2 linked regions of the Oreochromis niloticus genome follow. The protein of the gene in region 1 purifies or fractionates together with the protein of each later gene. This does not show direct contact. Links are inferred from orthologs where the notes say so. Each region holds a gene or a part of one and is shown on either strand. Other genes may lie near its edges.

What was found.
Region 2: the proteins of plk1 (region 1) and ppp6r3 purify together in Homo sapiens (affinity purification with mass spectrometry; 3 studies listed by BioGRID and IntAct, with this or other methods). This does not show direct contact. The link is inferred for Oreochromis niloticus from reciprocal best matches to the Homo sapiens genes PLK1 and PPP6R3.

The regions. Positions count from the first base shown.
Region 1 is NC_031971.2:12,089,812-12,096,895, reverse strand, and holds the start of plk1 (serine/threonine-protein kinase PLK1), read right to left. Parts: upstream 3,005-7,084; 5' UTR 2,708-3,004; intron 2,616-2,707; 5' UTR 2,600-2,615; coding exon 2,237-2,599; intron 1,912-2,236; coding exon 1,743-1,911; intron 1,543-1,742; coding exon 1,398-1,542; intron 1,150-1,397; coding exon 1,056-1,149; intron 946-1,055; coding exon 720-945; intron 589-719; coding exon 546-588; intron 436-545; coding exon 338-435; intron 232-337; coding exon 154-231; intron 1-153. Other genes in the region: GTP-binding protein Rhes-like, read right to left, coding at 6,662-7,084. UniProt on the Homo sapiens protein: Serine/threonine-protein kinase that performs several important functions throughout M phase of the cell cycle, including the regulation of centrosome maturation and spindle assembly, the removal of cohesins from chromosome arms, the inactivation of anaphase-promoting complex/cyclosome (APC/C) inhibitors, and the regulation of mitotic exit and cytokinesis.
Region 2 is NC_031972.2:39,401,053-39,408,326, reverse strand, and holds the start of ppp6r3 (serine/threonine-protein phosphatase 6 regulatory subunit 3), read left to right. Parts: upstream 1-4,266; 5' UTR 4,267-4,478; intron 4,479-4,529; exon of another isoform or gene 4,530-4,661; intron 4,662-7,274. Other genes in the region: ric8a (chaperone Ric-8A), read right to left, coding at 2,211-2,303.

The sequences.
Region 1 (7,084 bases):
TGTAGAGTTCACTATTAGACCCCAAAATACAAATACTTGATCGATCCAACTTCATAAATGAGCCAATATCACAGTTGTGTTTCCTTTATTTTGTTTTTTTAACGTTCAAGTGTAGCTAACTGGATGGATGTGGACTCTAAGTTTAATACTTACCCAGTCCATATTTATCAGAGTAGTCCACCCATTTGCTGATCCAGAAGATGGGGATGCATGCAGGATCCTCTGCCTCCTCTGTTTATTAAAAGAATTAACATCTCTGTATGAAGCACTGACACAGACACATAGATTTTCCAGCTTAATAAAATGTACAACACAGTCATAAAAAGTCAGCGCTCACCTTGGCGGACGACTGCCTTCTCAGAAGGCTTGGCAGCAATGATGGTGTTGAGCTGCTGCAGCATGTCTCTGAGGTGGTTCTCCGACGGTTCAACCTCCCTACACGCAGATTACACCAGTCAAAACATCCAAATACATAAATGTGTCACAGAAAGCAAACCTGTCCTTTATAAATATTTCCATTATTTCAAGTGGGACAAACATCTCACCGTGGTGCAGGCTCGTCCTTCATCTCCACCTTCTCTGTCCCTACTGGAAACACAAACCCGTATCATTAACATTCCTGCAAACACTAAAATAATTCAACTCCAATATTTCAGCCTTGCTTTAAACATCTGAAGAGTTGGGGCTTCTTTCAACTCTAGTCCTGCTGGGAGGATTACCTTTGTTATTTATAGCTGTCAACGGGCGCCTCTGGCTGAGCTCGGTACTTGTGGAAGGGGCAATAGAGAACCGCGGGGGCACCGTGAGACAAGTCGTGGGCAGGCGCAAGGGGATGTAGCCGGACGTGATGAACTCATCCGCTTGCAGCTCAGCAATGGTGGGCCTCTGGGTGGGATCGGCATGCAGCATCCTTTTGATGAGGGCGGTCGCTGCTGGGTTGATGTGCTGCACGAAGACAATTGCCGTTTAAGTTGATACGACTTAAACAAAAAAAAGCATCTTTGTATACAAACTTTTTTTTCTTTAAAAAGGAGCATCGTGTTAAACCGCCTCACCCAGGGGATGGTGTAGTTGTTTTTCTTGATGCGGTTGTAGGTCTCCTTCAGACAGGAGGTCTCAAATGGAGGCTTGCCCACCAACAAAGTGTACCTGAGAATTCAGACAAGAAGGAGGTTAAAGTGACTGTGCAGATTTTTGTTTTTTAAACAACTTTTAACTTTCTAATACATCATTAGAAGTATTTCTTGGGGTAAAATATAAAACCATTAGGACTCATAGGGCTGCATTTTGTAAAAAGACAAAAAACCCTAATTAAACATGAGCAGATGTGCAAAGCTTGGCATTGGCATCAGCCGTAACACCTCCGTTTCCAGGTGTGCTTGTGTATTTAGACTTACAATATACACCCAAGTGACCAGACATCCACTTCATAGCTGTGGCCTTTCTTGCAGAGCACTTCAGGAGCTATGTAGTTAGGTGTTCCACACAAGGTCTTCTTCCGCTCACCATCAAACTCAATCTTTGTGGCAAGGCCAAAATCCCCTGTTTTAAAAGAAAAAAGGGGGACATAACTGTAAAGAGGCACACTTGTGTGCAAAAGTTCATTCTTGAAGTATGAGAAATTACTGACGCAAGGACCTGGGTGTGCCTTTTCTAGTAAAACCAGCAGGTTAGTTTGAGGTTGCTAATATATCCAGTTGACATTTATAGCCCCTGCCATCATTCTGAGCTGAGCAAATTACCTATCTTGACGTCCATGTCGTCGTTGAGGAAGATGTTGCCCAGTTTCAGGTCTCTGTGGATCACTTTGTTGTTGTGCAGGTACTGGACACCCTTGAGCAGCTGAGTCATGTAGTATCGGGCCTCGGGCTCTGTGACAGCCTTACGACGCTTGTGCAACTCCAGCAGGGACTGAAGTGGAGAAGAAAATGATTTGAAACTGGGGCACTGAGACAGTAAAGCAGCAGAGAGGCAGTACTGAGGCACATTTTTAACAAAAATCAAGTACATCTGACGGTAACCATGTCAGTGTGGAAAGAAAAGATTTTAAAAAAGTACTAATGCCATCAAAATACTGAGTTTAGGAATAGTGGCTCATTTGAATTATGTTCAGAGCTCCTGTGGTTTTAATCAGGCCAAGCTTCCTGCACTGTGACGGGAAGGCCATGGGAAGAGACCGCCAGGGTAACCGTTGGCCGTCCACAGTTAACAGAAAGGACACTTTCTCTGCACTCACCCTTCTCCTGCAGATTTCCAGGACGACAAACACAAAATCATCGTCCTCGAAGAACCCGTGGAAGCCCACGACGTTGGGGTGGTTGAGGCTTTGGTGAATGGAGATTTCCGAAGTCATCTTCTCCCTCTGGTGCTGCTTCAGGATCAGCGATTTGGGCACGATCTTTCCGGCGAAAACCTGCTTTGTCTCCACGTCTGTGATTTCGTAGCATTTTGCAAATCCACCTTTCCCGAGGAATCTCCCCCTCGTGTATCGTCTCATGGTGCGTGGGTCGACCAGAACATCAGGGATTTCTTTTAGAGTGGCCGATTTTGGGTCGACGTGCGGCATCGGGTTCGCCGGCTTTGCAACACCAGCGCTCATTTTGGATTAAAGTGCACTTAGCCGGGAGTAAAAAGAAACGTTTTAAAGCCCCTTCGCAATCGAGGTATTAATGATAAACCCCAAGAAAGAGAGTATTGTTAACCCTACCTTAACTGACGTTAGTTTGGCCTTGGAAGCTAGCGTGCTCCCTGCACTTCTGGATTTAAATAAAAACTAGCTCTAATACACTTTAGACGCCTTTTTTTACTTAAACATTGCATTGACAATTAAAACGCAGTGCAACTAGACTATAAATCTTTTTTGAAAAACGAAAATATTCAATAAAGTAATCGCCAGAGTTGTCCGTCGATGGCTACAGCGTTAACCCGTCCTGCCTTTTGACAACAGTTTCTCCTAAAAGTTTAAAATGCTGCCTCGGTCGTTACGGTGCTCTGTGATTGGTCCGCTCGATTTGAATTCTAAGGTATTGCAGCAAAGCATCATGGGAGATTAAGGCAAAAATAGCCAATAACTAAATGAGTACGTCACATTCTGCATTGTTATTGGCTGAATCCCTGTTGTTGGTTTCTTATTGTTTCCTTTAAGCGAGTACTGATGGGAAATGTAGTCGGGGTGGGCTTTAATCGTGACATACGTCCGTTTTTTTTCTTTCTTCTTCTTCTTTTTTTTTTTTTACCCAAGTAGATAACGTGAATTTAATGGTCATTTGATTGTTTTCTTTTTCTTCTTCTTTTTTTTAACTAAAACCCCTGAATAAATAGTCGTCATCGTGGATTGTTGTAACCGATTTAGTTTAGTCGAGGTAGCAGTCTATAGGCTAACTTATATGAGACTCAGTATAATTTGTAGATTTACTTCACTGCAATAACCTTTGCTTATTTATACGCTGACCTCACTAGTTTTCGGTAAGAATTGTTTCGTTATTACTCTTGTAATACTACTTTTCGTAATTATCAGTCGTGAGGTTGTCCAGTTTAATTAACTCTAACCAGCTACAACATGTAGACTGTACATTTATGTAAAACACACAACCTATTTTTATTACTGTTTTTAGCCAGTAGGGGGCACTGCCACGCCTATATCCTATCCAATAACTTCCCGAATGCTATAACTTTATACGGTCCCAATATTAAAATATGTTGAAAAGCAAAAATATGTTGATATCAATACCATAACAGATTGCTGTAGTTGAAGGCTGTAGTTATACAGTGGGCCAAAGGACTGAATTTCTTTGAATGGATTGTTCAAAAAGTGTTACCATATTTCCATTAAAACCTTTTCTGGATCAAGTATGATGAGTGTTAGTCAGTGCAATGTCTGTGTTTCATTAGTTTCATTAAAACTTTTGTGTACATTCAGGATATATTATGGTTCCACACAATTATTGATGGGATTGTCATTGCAACACCAACTAGACTTAACTTCAGGCAGAGCATTCATGAAAAAGGCAATGTAAATAATTTTTCACTGAAATTGTAACTATGGAAAGAAGAATTATCCAGAATTGTGTGGAGTGGAAACAAAATTTGTGGCAAACATGGTCCACCTTGTACGTCATGATCAACCAACCACCCAGGCCTTTGCTTCACCCCAGTCTTGACTCCATGGCTACAGCCTTGCTCTGCGTCATTGCCTGTAATGCCTTTTACTTCTAGCCTGCTGCTTCTACAATTACCACTAATGCTAGTTCTGGTAAATGACAATCATTATCACTCTCAATAAAAAAAATAAAAATAAGAAAAACAGGTATGTTGGCTTTACAAAAACCTTAATTGTTACAAAAGCTGATAAACGTTATATATAGTGCTGTAATATTCTCTGAACCCTCCACCCCTACAGTGAGGTGCACTGGTGGATCACTTATCCTGTGTGTGTGTGTGTGTGTGTGTGTGTGTGTGTGTGTGTGTGTGTGTGTGTGTGTGTGTTTCTGTTCGCCCAGAAAGGTTACTGTAAATCTATGCTTAGCTGTCATGAGTGTTCATCTCAGGCCTGATGAAACATTTCTGTTGTGATGGAAATAGTCTCTTCTAGCATCACAGCCTCCGTCCATAGTGCACTCAGTTGTTTCTCAAGTATGAAAATAATGGGATTCATCTTCATCCAAGACAAACACACATGGCATGTTTCAGAGATTTCTCTTAATCACATCATTGTCACCCATCTGTTTATATGTATTTTGAATCATTGTGCTTTTATTTATTCTGTATTTTTATCATCTTGTTTTATAAGATGTGTATATTGGTTTTCTTTTTTATTGATCTGATCCTTATCTAAATTACTGAGAAGACTGTCCAAGAGCACAGGTGTTCTTTTATTCTGCGCACGTGCAGCTGACAAATAAAGTAATTCAAACTTTAATTTTCCTGTTGTTCACTCTTCTTGGTAAAAGATAAACAAAAGCTTTTACTCCAATAGTGTGAAATTTTTGATGTGTAATGCTGCAGAATCATCCTTGTCAGGAGCCTCTGTTCTTTAGCCCTTGTGTGCTATATGGGCCTCTGCTCCTCATTCATATTAATGCTTTTGTGGCAGACACAATTAATATCTGCTTAGCAACAGATTATACAACTGACATGGTGATAAAGAGAGGAAAATAAGAGGAGAACAAGTGGATGAAGAGAGGACAGATGATGAGACCAGTGTGTTTGCTTAGCCCCTTTGTTCTACTTCATATAAGTGTCTGTGTGTGTGTCTAAAACGTCACGACACAGTTTCAAGCAAAGAAAGGAGCTATTTTTATGATGCACCATCTCACGCTAAGCCAAAAATGGCAGTTGTTGTTCATTATTACAGAAAAAGAAAAAATATGCGCATCGGCTTTGTACATCAATTTAATAACTCAGAGGAACAATTTTAAGATGTAAATCTTGGAAAGCTTGGAATGCCGGGAAGTTGGGAATAAATGGAAGAGACTCCCATCAGAAATATTTTCTCAGAGGATAAATTTGAATAGTCACAGTAATTTGTAACTGATTTTCAGTGTCCATTTTCTCTAAAAAAGTAGATCAAACCATATCACAACAGCATCAGCAGACCAATTGCCAATTGCTATTCTGGGCACGTCCGCAGGGCCCGTGTATATTTGGGGGCCCATCCAAGAGAAGATGAAATGAAAAAAAAGAAAAAAAAAGACCAGAACTGTATCATCTCAAACTTTACTCCTATTTTAACAAAACATAGATATACATATTCTTTTTAATTATAACTGGTAAAATCCAGTAGTTTTATTTTGTATTTGACCTGCCTTTTTCTAATTTTAATTAAGGAGCGAGGCTGCCTTCACAAGATCATTTATCCATTAATTTATTCATTCACTTATTTATTGACAAAAAAAAAGTTTACTAATTTTCTAAGTGGGGACCTCACAAAAGTGTTTTTTCTCATTAAAGCTCTCTGGGCTCTACTCTACTGTTTCAACACTCATCCGGGAGCGGGACTGTAGTAGTGCTGAAAGGAGGAAAAAGAGGAGACCACCAAACAGACAAAGGGAATAAGAGGAGAAAAAGAACATGTGTGTGTGCAAAAAGTCAGGATTTTCATTATATATTTAAAACTAAAACGTTCCCTTTGATGGTTACTTTAAATGGTAAAATGGTAAATGGCCTGTATTTGTATAGCGCTTTACTAGTCCCTAAGGACCCCAAAGCGCTTTACACATCCAGTAATCCACCCATTCACACACACATTCACACACTGGTGCCATCGCCAGTGTGTGATTCCTGTATGAATGTGAACCATCACAATCCTGTATGATTCTGATTATCGAAGAAAGAAAAAAGCTCTAGGGCCCATCAGACATTTGTGCACAGTGGTGTTTAACTTTATGATCCACGCATGGACAGACTTATTACAGATGTGCCAAGACCAGTGGAAAGTTTACAAATGAAGCACCGGACACATTTTAGAACAAAGTTATTTTACTGACACCATATAAAAATGTACACACAAAATAGGACTCAAATAAAGTGCATCATCCCGTTTGCTGCCCGTAAACTATGAGTATTACAGGCCCCGTGGCTTTCAGACACATTAAAGACCCGAGGAGCCTTCACCCATGAACAGGTGTGAAACTGAGCAGGCGCAGTCCAGCTGCAGCTGTTTCTACGACAGAACACAGCTGTGGTGCTTCTTCAGCGAGGGTCTCTTCCTAGCTCGGGGCCTAGGCACGGTGTCTCTGCGTGTCCACGCCGCGGGGCTCAGTTGTGCCGGCAGGTTCACCTGTTGCAGCAGCGAGCTAAACACCCCGACCGCGTTTCTGCCCGTGCTCGCGGACGCCTCCACGAAGTCTGCGCCCCACTCAGCCTCCACTGTGGCCATGGCGTCACCGGCAACCGGCGCTCGACCTTCGCTCTCGGTCAGATCCGCTTTGCTGCGGACCACGGTGATGGGCGCGCTCCTGCCGCCGCCGCGCAGCTCCAGAATCTCGGCGCGCAGTCGACGCACCTCCTCGAAGGAGCCAGGCTCGTCTGCCGCGTACACCAGGGCGAAGGCGTCGCTGTGTCGGATGCAGAGCTCCCGCATAGC
Region 2 (7,274 bases), on another chromosome or scaffold:
GTAAGCTTATGGTTTAAGGGAAGTAGTATAATGTGTTATGATAAGCTTGAATTTAAAATAGAAATAAAATATCTGTAATATCACTAAACATTGCAGCTGAAATCTTTGACATTTTACTGGATGTACCTCAGCACTGATCTTAAACGTGAGCTCATTATCTTCGAGTAACTGCTTCTGCTTCTCTGTCCTCTTTTTTTTCTCTGTATCTAAGCGATGAATCCATTAATTACATTAATTTAAAAACTCCCACAGCGCTCTTTCCCATTACTCTTCAGTGTCCTGACACTGACTCCTTCCCAAGGTGTATCAGAGTTACAAGGAAATCACACATGTTATAAAAACTGAAAGAGCACAGTGAAATAAAGAAACCTCTCTAGATGGCCTGAGTTACGAGATATGTATATGTCAGATTCTCCAAGAAAATGAGGATTTAATCTCAGAACAAAGGCCCTGGAAATGTTGGGGAGATTATATGTCTTGACTGGCTAAGGAAGGCTTTGGTGTCCCCCTGGATAAACTGTGGCTGGCTGAGGAGAGGGACGTCTGGGCTTTTTTTTCTGGCCTAGTGACACAAACCTGGATTAGTGGCAGAAAATGGATGCAATGGATGTAGATATTTGTGACAAAACTAACTTGCATTTCCCATTTCTATTTTTACAATCAGTGGCTCGCATTAATTAAAAATAATTATTTTCAAAAACAAATATTTCTCTCTTTTCTTTCTACATTTCTTTCTGATTTTCTACCACATTATGAAACTGACTTGCCTGCAATTCAGACTGTGTCAGGCTCAACTCTTTGCATGTTGGTGATCACATAATAATACTTGGAACTAAACTACCACAGAAGTTCAAAGGGTAAAGAGGGAATTAATAGGCAGCTAAATAAATTACACTTACTGTCAACTTATGCCACATCATTATTATTATTAAAATTATTATTTTGGTGCAATGAATGTCTCAACTTTGGGATAAATAAAGCATGTTTTATCCTATCTAATATTCATTTATTATTTATTAAGTCATTTAGGTAATTTATGATATGGGTGGTTCTACCAATTTCCCAGCACCAACAGCAGATCCAGCAATACTTGAATAATGTTGAGGTCCAGGCTCCTGGGAGGCCAATCCACATCCAGTGAAATTTGTGACGGCATTTCAGTGTGTCTTCTATCCAGGTATGCCTTTACTGCATTGTCAGCATATTCGCTTTATCATTGAAAAAGTGAAAAATTAAGCCACTATCGCACACTTTCCAGATGGTATTGCACTGTGGATTTTTTGCATTCATAATTACATGAATTTTGACAAGATCTCCAGCACCACTGGCTGAAATGAGCCCCAAATCATGACATGCCTCCTCCATATTTTACCAGTGACTATAGACACTCACTGTACCCTTGTTGCAGCCCTGACATCCTCCATACACACTGGCAATGATTGGAACCAAAGATATCTACTTTGGATTCATCACTCAATAAGACCTGTTGCTACTGATTTTCACACCAGTTTTTGTGTAGTTTGGTGTAAGAATGCGTTGTTGACAGCCACCTTTCCACTGAGACCATTTCTTTGGTGAACAGTAGATGGATCAAGGGTCAGATGCATCTCTCAGGTATGTGTCATGTTTATAGAATCGGCTAAAGAAACGGGAATGTGTTATTTGTAACAAAGTTCCTAGCGACACAATTTATATTTGGATCTTTAAGTTCTCTTTAATTCCAGACACAGTACTGGTTCATCCCTTTAGTTAGATGTTTTTTAAGCTTGAATGACTCATAGGTCAGTGCTCAGTTGCTTAACCATCAAAAACACATTGCTGTCAGGTCAAAAATCTGTCAGGTACAAGGACTGGGCTGAAAATGAGTGAAAAGCAGCGAATGTCCAAAGAAGAACTTTGAAAGACCCCGAGAACTCCTTGAGAACTGTTGCTTAATATCCCTTTAAAAATTACGAGGAAATCTGGCTCCGTGAAAGCAAAACATGAAGAAGAAGAAGGGGTGGCTCAATACACAATATCGTATAGGCTATTTATAAGGTGTACAATGCAGCTTTAAACCCCGTTTAATATATTAAAGGCTCTACTTTTGAAAACAGTTCTGATTTGGAAATTATTTCAGGATCATCATCTGAATGGAAAGCATTTCATAAACTCAAACAGCTGTGTTACAACGCACTGATTCCTCCCGATGTTGCAGGGCTGGTGTTTACCTGCTTGTTGTAGCTCTGTAAAGCCGTCAGAGCCGAGTCTTGGTCGCCCGTCTCCATCTCCTCTATAACGGCACTTAAATCCATGTTCATCATCACTGAGCTAGCTGCTGCTGCTGCTGATGTCTGTATGTTTGTTCCCTGGACTGCGGATTCACGTTATGCTCCGTTACCTCTGACGGATGAAAGCATGACGTCTGAATCCCGAAGATCTGATGAGAAGCGATTAGCGAACGGGGATTTGTGCCAGCCAAGTGCTGCGTTTAGAGTCCCAAGAAAAGACGGGAGAAATAAAATTTGTGATTAAATTTTTGTAAATGGAAAAAACAAGTGAGGATGTGGATCACAAGAAACGTTAAGAGCAATATTAGACATCACTATATATGCATAGTCTAACGACTGTAAAAGAACGCTCCTCTCTCAGACTGCGGGCTGCTTGTGGTGTTCATCAGAGTTTCTAAAAGCAGTATTGGAGGCCTTCAGCTTGAAGTGAAACTGTGAAGTGCGGCACACGTTAGAGAAATGCGGGTTGGTGAGACTGAAACATCTTTCAGTAACTATTCTTTCATCAAATCGAAGCTCAGTGTGCTGGCTCAAAATTGTTGCAATTAATTGCAACATAAAGTAAGCCATCAACGACGCTGTTGGATGTCCCCATAGTTAGTGAGGTTTCAGTAAAAAGAAGAAAAAGAAAGAAGTGAAAATCAAATTTGAACCAGTGATATTTATTATGAATTATTCTTGAGGAATTTGCAGTGCTTTAATAATATAACCCTTTTTGAAGCCACAAAACAACTGAGAATGAATTCCACATACATTTTATTTTAAGTTGATGTATCACTGATGCCATTTTAGAAAGCCCAAAAGTTTCGATCATCCTTTAAAAAGACAAACGGTGTATGTGTGCAAGATTTTCCAACCGGTAAACTGAGCGATAGTGAGCAAGTCAGTGCAAACGTGAGAAAAAAATGAATTCAATATAAGATAAGATAAGATAAGATAAGATAAGATGGCCTTTATTAGTCCCACAGGTGGGAAATTTGTTTTGTTACAGCAAAAGTGCAAAGTTATGTAGCAGAAATTAGAAAACACTGGAATGCAATAAAATAAAATAAAATAAAATAAAATAAAATACTATGTACAACAGAATAAAATAGAATAGAATAATATATACAATAGAATAAAATACAAATACAAATACTATATACAACTGAGTAGGAAAATACAAAAACACAACTTCGTCAGAAGAAGAATTGCACATATAGCAGTCTTATTGCACATGTGTGGGTTTGTGTGTTTGATCAGCTGCAAAAGTTTGATCAGTATCAAACTGACTCTGAGCTGTTCCACAGTCCTCACTAATGTGGCAGCAACAAGCAACTTGAGAAGTTCGGTGCTCTCTCCTGTAGCTAGTCCAGTGAACTGAAAGTTGAGCAGAATCTTCTTTTCACTGATAATTCAATTTAATAACACATGATAATAGCACATTATCAAGTGCTGCTCATATGTCATTCTCTGATATACCATTTAAACTGACATTATAAAGCGTTTTTGAGGTTACTGTTGTCGTTAACTGTCGCCATGTAAATAAAATTACACTAACACATACCTAAAAGATAAGATAAACACACGTTCGCTTTAGGTAACGAGGGTCTGCGCTCTTTACACTACCGCCCTCAACTGGGCGTTTCTTGAACGAGACGTGGGCGTGCTTGTACGCTACTTAGTGTGCTCGATTTAAAATTCAAAGCAAACGTGCGTGCGGGGTGAAGGTTTTATATTACCCGCAGTTTACCCAAATATAGTTATCAATTAGATGAATTACACTACATTAAACCTTCAATTTGTTGTGTTACCACATGAGTCTAACTGTTTTGCTTAAAATTCGATAAACAGTATAAACCCCGTTCTTCCGGGACACTATACACATACTCTGTGTAAATGACGTCTTGACGAGACACGCACTATATCCAATAAAAGCTTACGGCCTTGTTTGAGCGACGGGATTCACAACCAATAGTTTTGCGGAAATCGTTTGATTGACAAACATTGCAGCTGGAGTGGGGGAAGGGGTCGATGAAGTTGACGGAACCGCCATCTTGAAAAGTGCCCTCCGAAGATCTACATTTTCGCGCCTGTTAGAAACAGTTTTAAAGGCTTTATTTTCCTTACCAAAATTTAATCTTAGCTCTGTCTTAGTATCGCTAAGGTCCGACGCTAATGTTAAGATAAGCTACATGCTGGAGAGTTGGTGTTTACCCTTGTCTATTGGTAGGTACAATTGCAAGCTCATACACTTGGTGCTGAAGAGACGATTAGCCAGCAGTCTTTAGATAGCCGGCTAACGTTAGCTGGCTAGCAAAGAGCATACTTGGCCATCTTATCACTGCGCTGTCAGACTGTGGTTTTTCAAGCTAAGAGGAGGCTAACGTTAACATGGCACATTATTTTAAGGTACCTCGGAATCATACTTTTATTTTTTTGTCAAACCTGTCAGCCAGTTAATATTACCCTCATATGTGACATATATTAGGTAACTGGTTGAGTTCGATAGTACTGGGTTAGCTAACAATAGCTAGTGACGTTCCTTGTACCGGTGTGTTGTCTTTAACGCCTGCACCGTTAGTGGTAGATAGGTTTGGGCCTTAGGATGTAAACGAAAGGGTAATGACGTGAATTAAAAAGGGCTACTATTTTGACTCGTGTTTAGCCGAAATGAAAGCTAACCGTATCTAACTGGGCCGTTGTGTTTTTGAGAAATGTTAACTTTGCGTTCGAATGTTGGTTAGCTGAAATGAAATACAACCAATAACGATTGCGTTGAATGACTGCCTTTACACATGCTTAAGGAAATAATATTTTTTTAAACCGCTCAGTCTGTTGGTTCGGAACTGATAGTCAAGCCCAGATGAACCAGGTGATTCTGGGTGAATATTATGTATTACCACCCAACTAAAATGTGATATCTTATTGCATGTGTATAGTTGCACTACATAGGCCTGAAATGTAGGTAGAGTTGGTATTTAGATTGATTTTATTACGGGCTCGTAATGTTTATGTGCCTACGGTATTTTTATTATTTTCGGTCTCTGGCGTATGTTAAACTGTTTTTGGGAGTGATAGTTTTATCAAAATACAGGCGTTTTATAGTGTGAGTGTGGTGTAGTTGATGTGTCAGCTGCATTGCTGAGTTAACACAAAATTCATAATAGCAGAAATATAATCGGCATCCAGATGTCTAGCCACACTTGATTTGCCAAAGTAGTTTGGGATTCACAGCAGCCGGTATCCTGTATGTTTATCACACGCAGTTGCTACAGTCTCTTAGTAACAAGTCACTGTTCTGAATATAAGTAGGAAGGTGCTTTGTACAGTGGGTGAGCTTGTGATTATAGGTTGTCTGTGGTACAGAACTGGTAATTAGAAGAACTTTTAGGTGGGAAATCAATGAATAGGGCAAATGATGAGAGGCTGCTAGTCACAAAGTGTTTAAAGATGCATACAATTTTAAATGAGGTCTTTGCTAAGCGATTTATCTGGAGAAGTACAGCTCAAAGCTGGTTTAAAAATTAAGAGAAGGTTTACCTCCTTGAAAGCAAAATAAAAAGAAATGGGAATGGATTAATACCTCTCAGTAATGTACAGTAATGTACGGAACTGGCACACATCTCAAGAGTGTCAACAACAAATATTCAGAATAGTTGCTAACAAGAAGCTTTAGTTTAATGTAACTTCAAACTTATGTGAATATAGATGAAATCACAGAAAAGCTAAGACTTTAACACATTTTCACAGGGATTTAATCAGACATCATAATCATATCATTAAGTCAGGGCTCTAGCATTGAAGAGAAGTGGACTGAAAGATGGCTTGAAAATAAAGGGTATTTACATTGGTCTTGATGGGTATTGTTTGTCACTTTTTCATATTTCTATTGCATGTTACTGAAGTTGTTTAACAACAGAAACTGAAAAACGTGTACAAATAAGAGCATTTCCTTCAGAGTATTTGTACTACACACATTCTTAACATGGGAAAAACCAGGAATTTGCAGCTTAGTTTAATTCCAGCCAATAGCAGCACTTCAGTCATTGTCATTGCCTTTTCATGTTGTCTGTCAAAACGTGGATGGAATAAGCTGTCACCTTTATAATGACCATGTTTTATAATGCTATTAAAAAGTTTTTGCATAATAATTAATTGGTTTTATTGCCTAGTTCTAATTATGAGGAACAGATTAAGTAGTAGAGTCATGTTAGCCTAGATGCACGTCTGCATACCCAGTTGGTGATGAGAAAGAGACTGGGGAGTTTATTTTTCAATGATGTCTGTTATATTAACAGACATCATTGGATGGATATAAGTTGAACAGTTAAAATAGTAATAAGTGAGAACTTGTGCCTTTTTGTTCTTTAAAGAAAGGTCACTCTTTGAGCTCTTTGTATGTGTGGTATTTCTAAATGCATGTAGGTTATTGTAAGTTTCTTATTATTGGTGTTTAATGCCAGCTGGTTAGCCTCAGCTGGGAGTCATCTTGGGCCTTAGGTGGGCTAGTGATACATCATTGACATTGTCTCTTTGACTCACTTGACCACTGTTTAATTTTAAAAACACTTAAATAAAACAAAAAAACAACTATTCCAAACATGCAAAGAAAATCTGTGTAGCAGGAGTACAATGTCTCCAAAATGCTAGGTCTTTCCTGTTGGCATTCTCCACGTTATGATAGCTCTCTGCAGCAACCAGTGTGTAGTAAACACAGAACAATGTAAAATGTATCAGGAGGTTGTCACCACTATCCAGTCCAGCTTTTTGAGTCAGGATGAGATGAATATCTGATCCAAATGTTGGGCGGGGCATTCTTAAAGCCTTTAAGTTATGTAAGCACTTCTAAATGCTGCTGACTATAATAATAAAGTAGAAATCCAAGTAGAAACATGCATACAAAAGAGGAGTGTAATATTAATTTTACATACATGCTAGGGCTGTTCAATATAACCATATATATCGGATGACAATATGAAAACATCTATCGTTTCATATTAAGCTATCGTTTGTTTCGTGGTG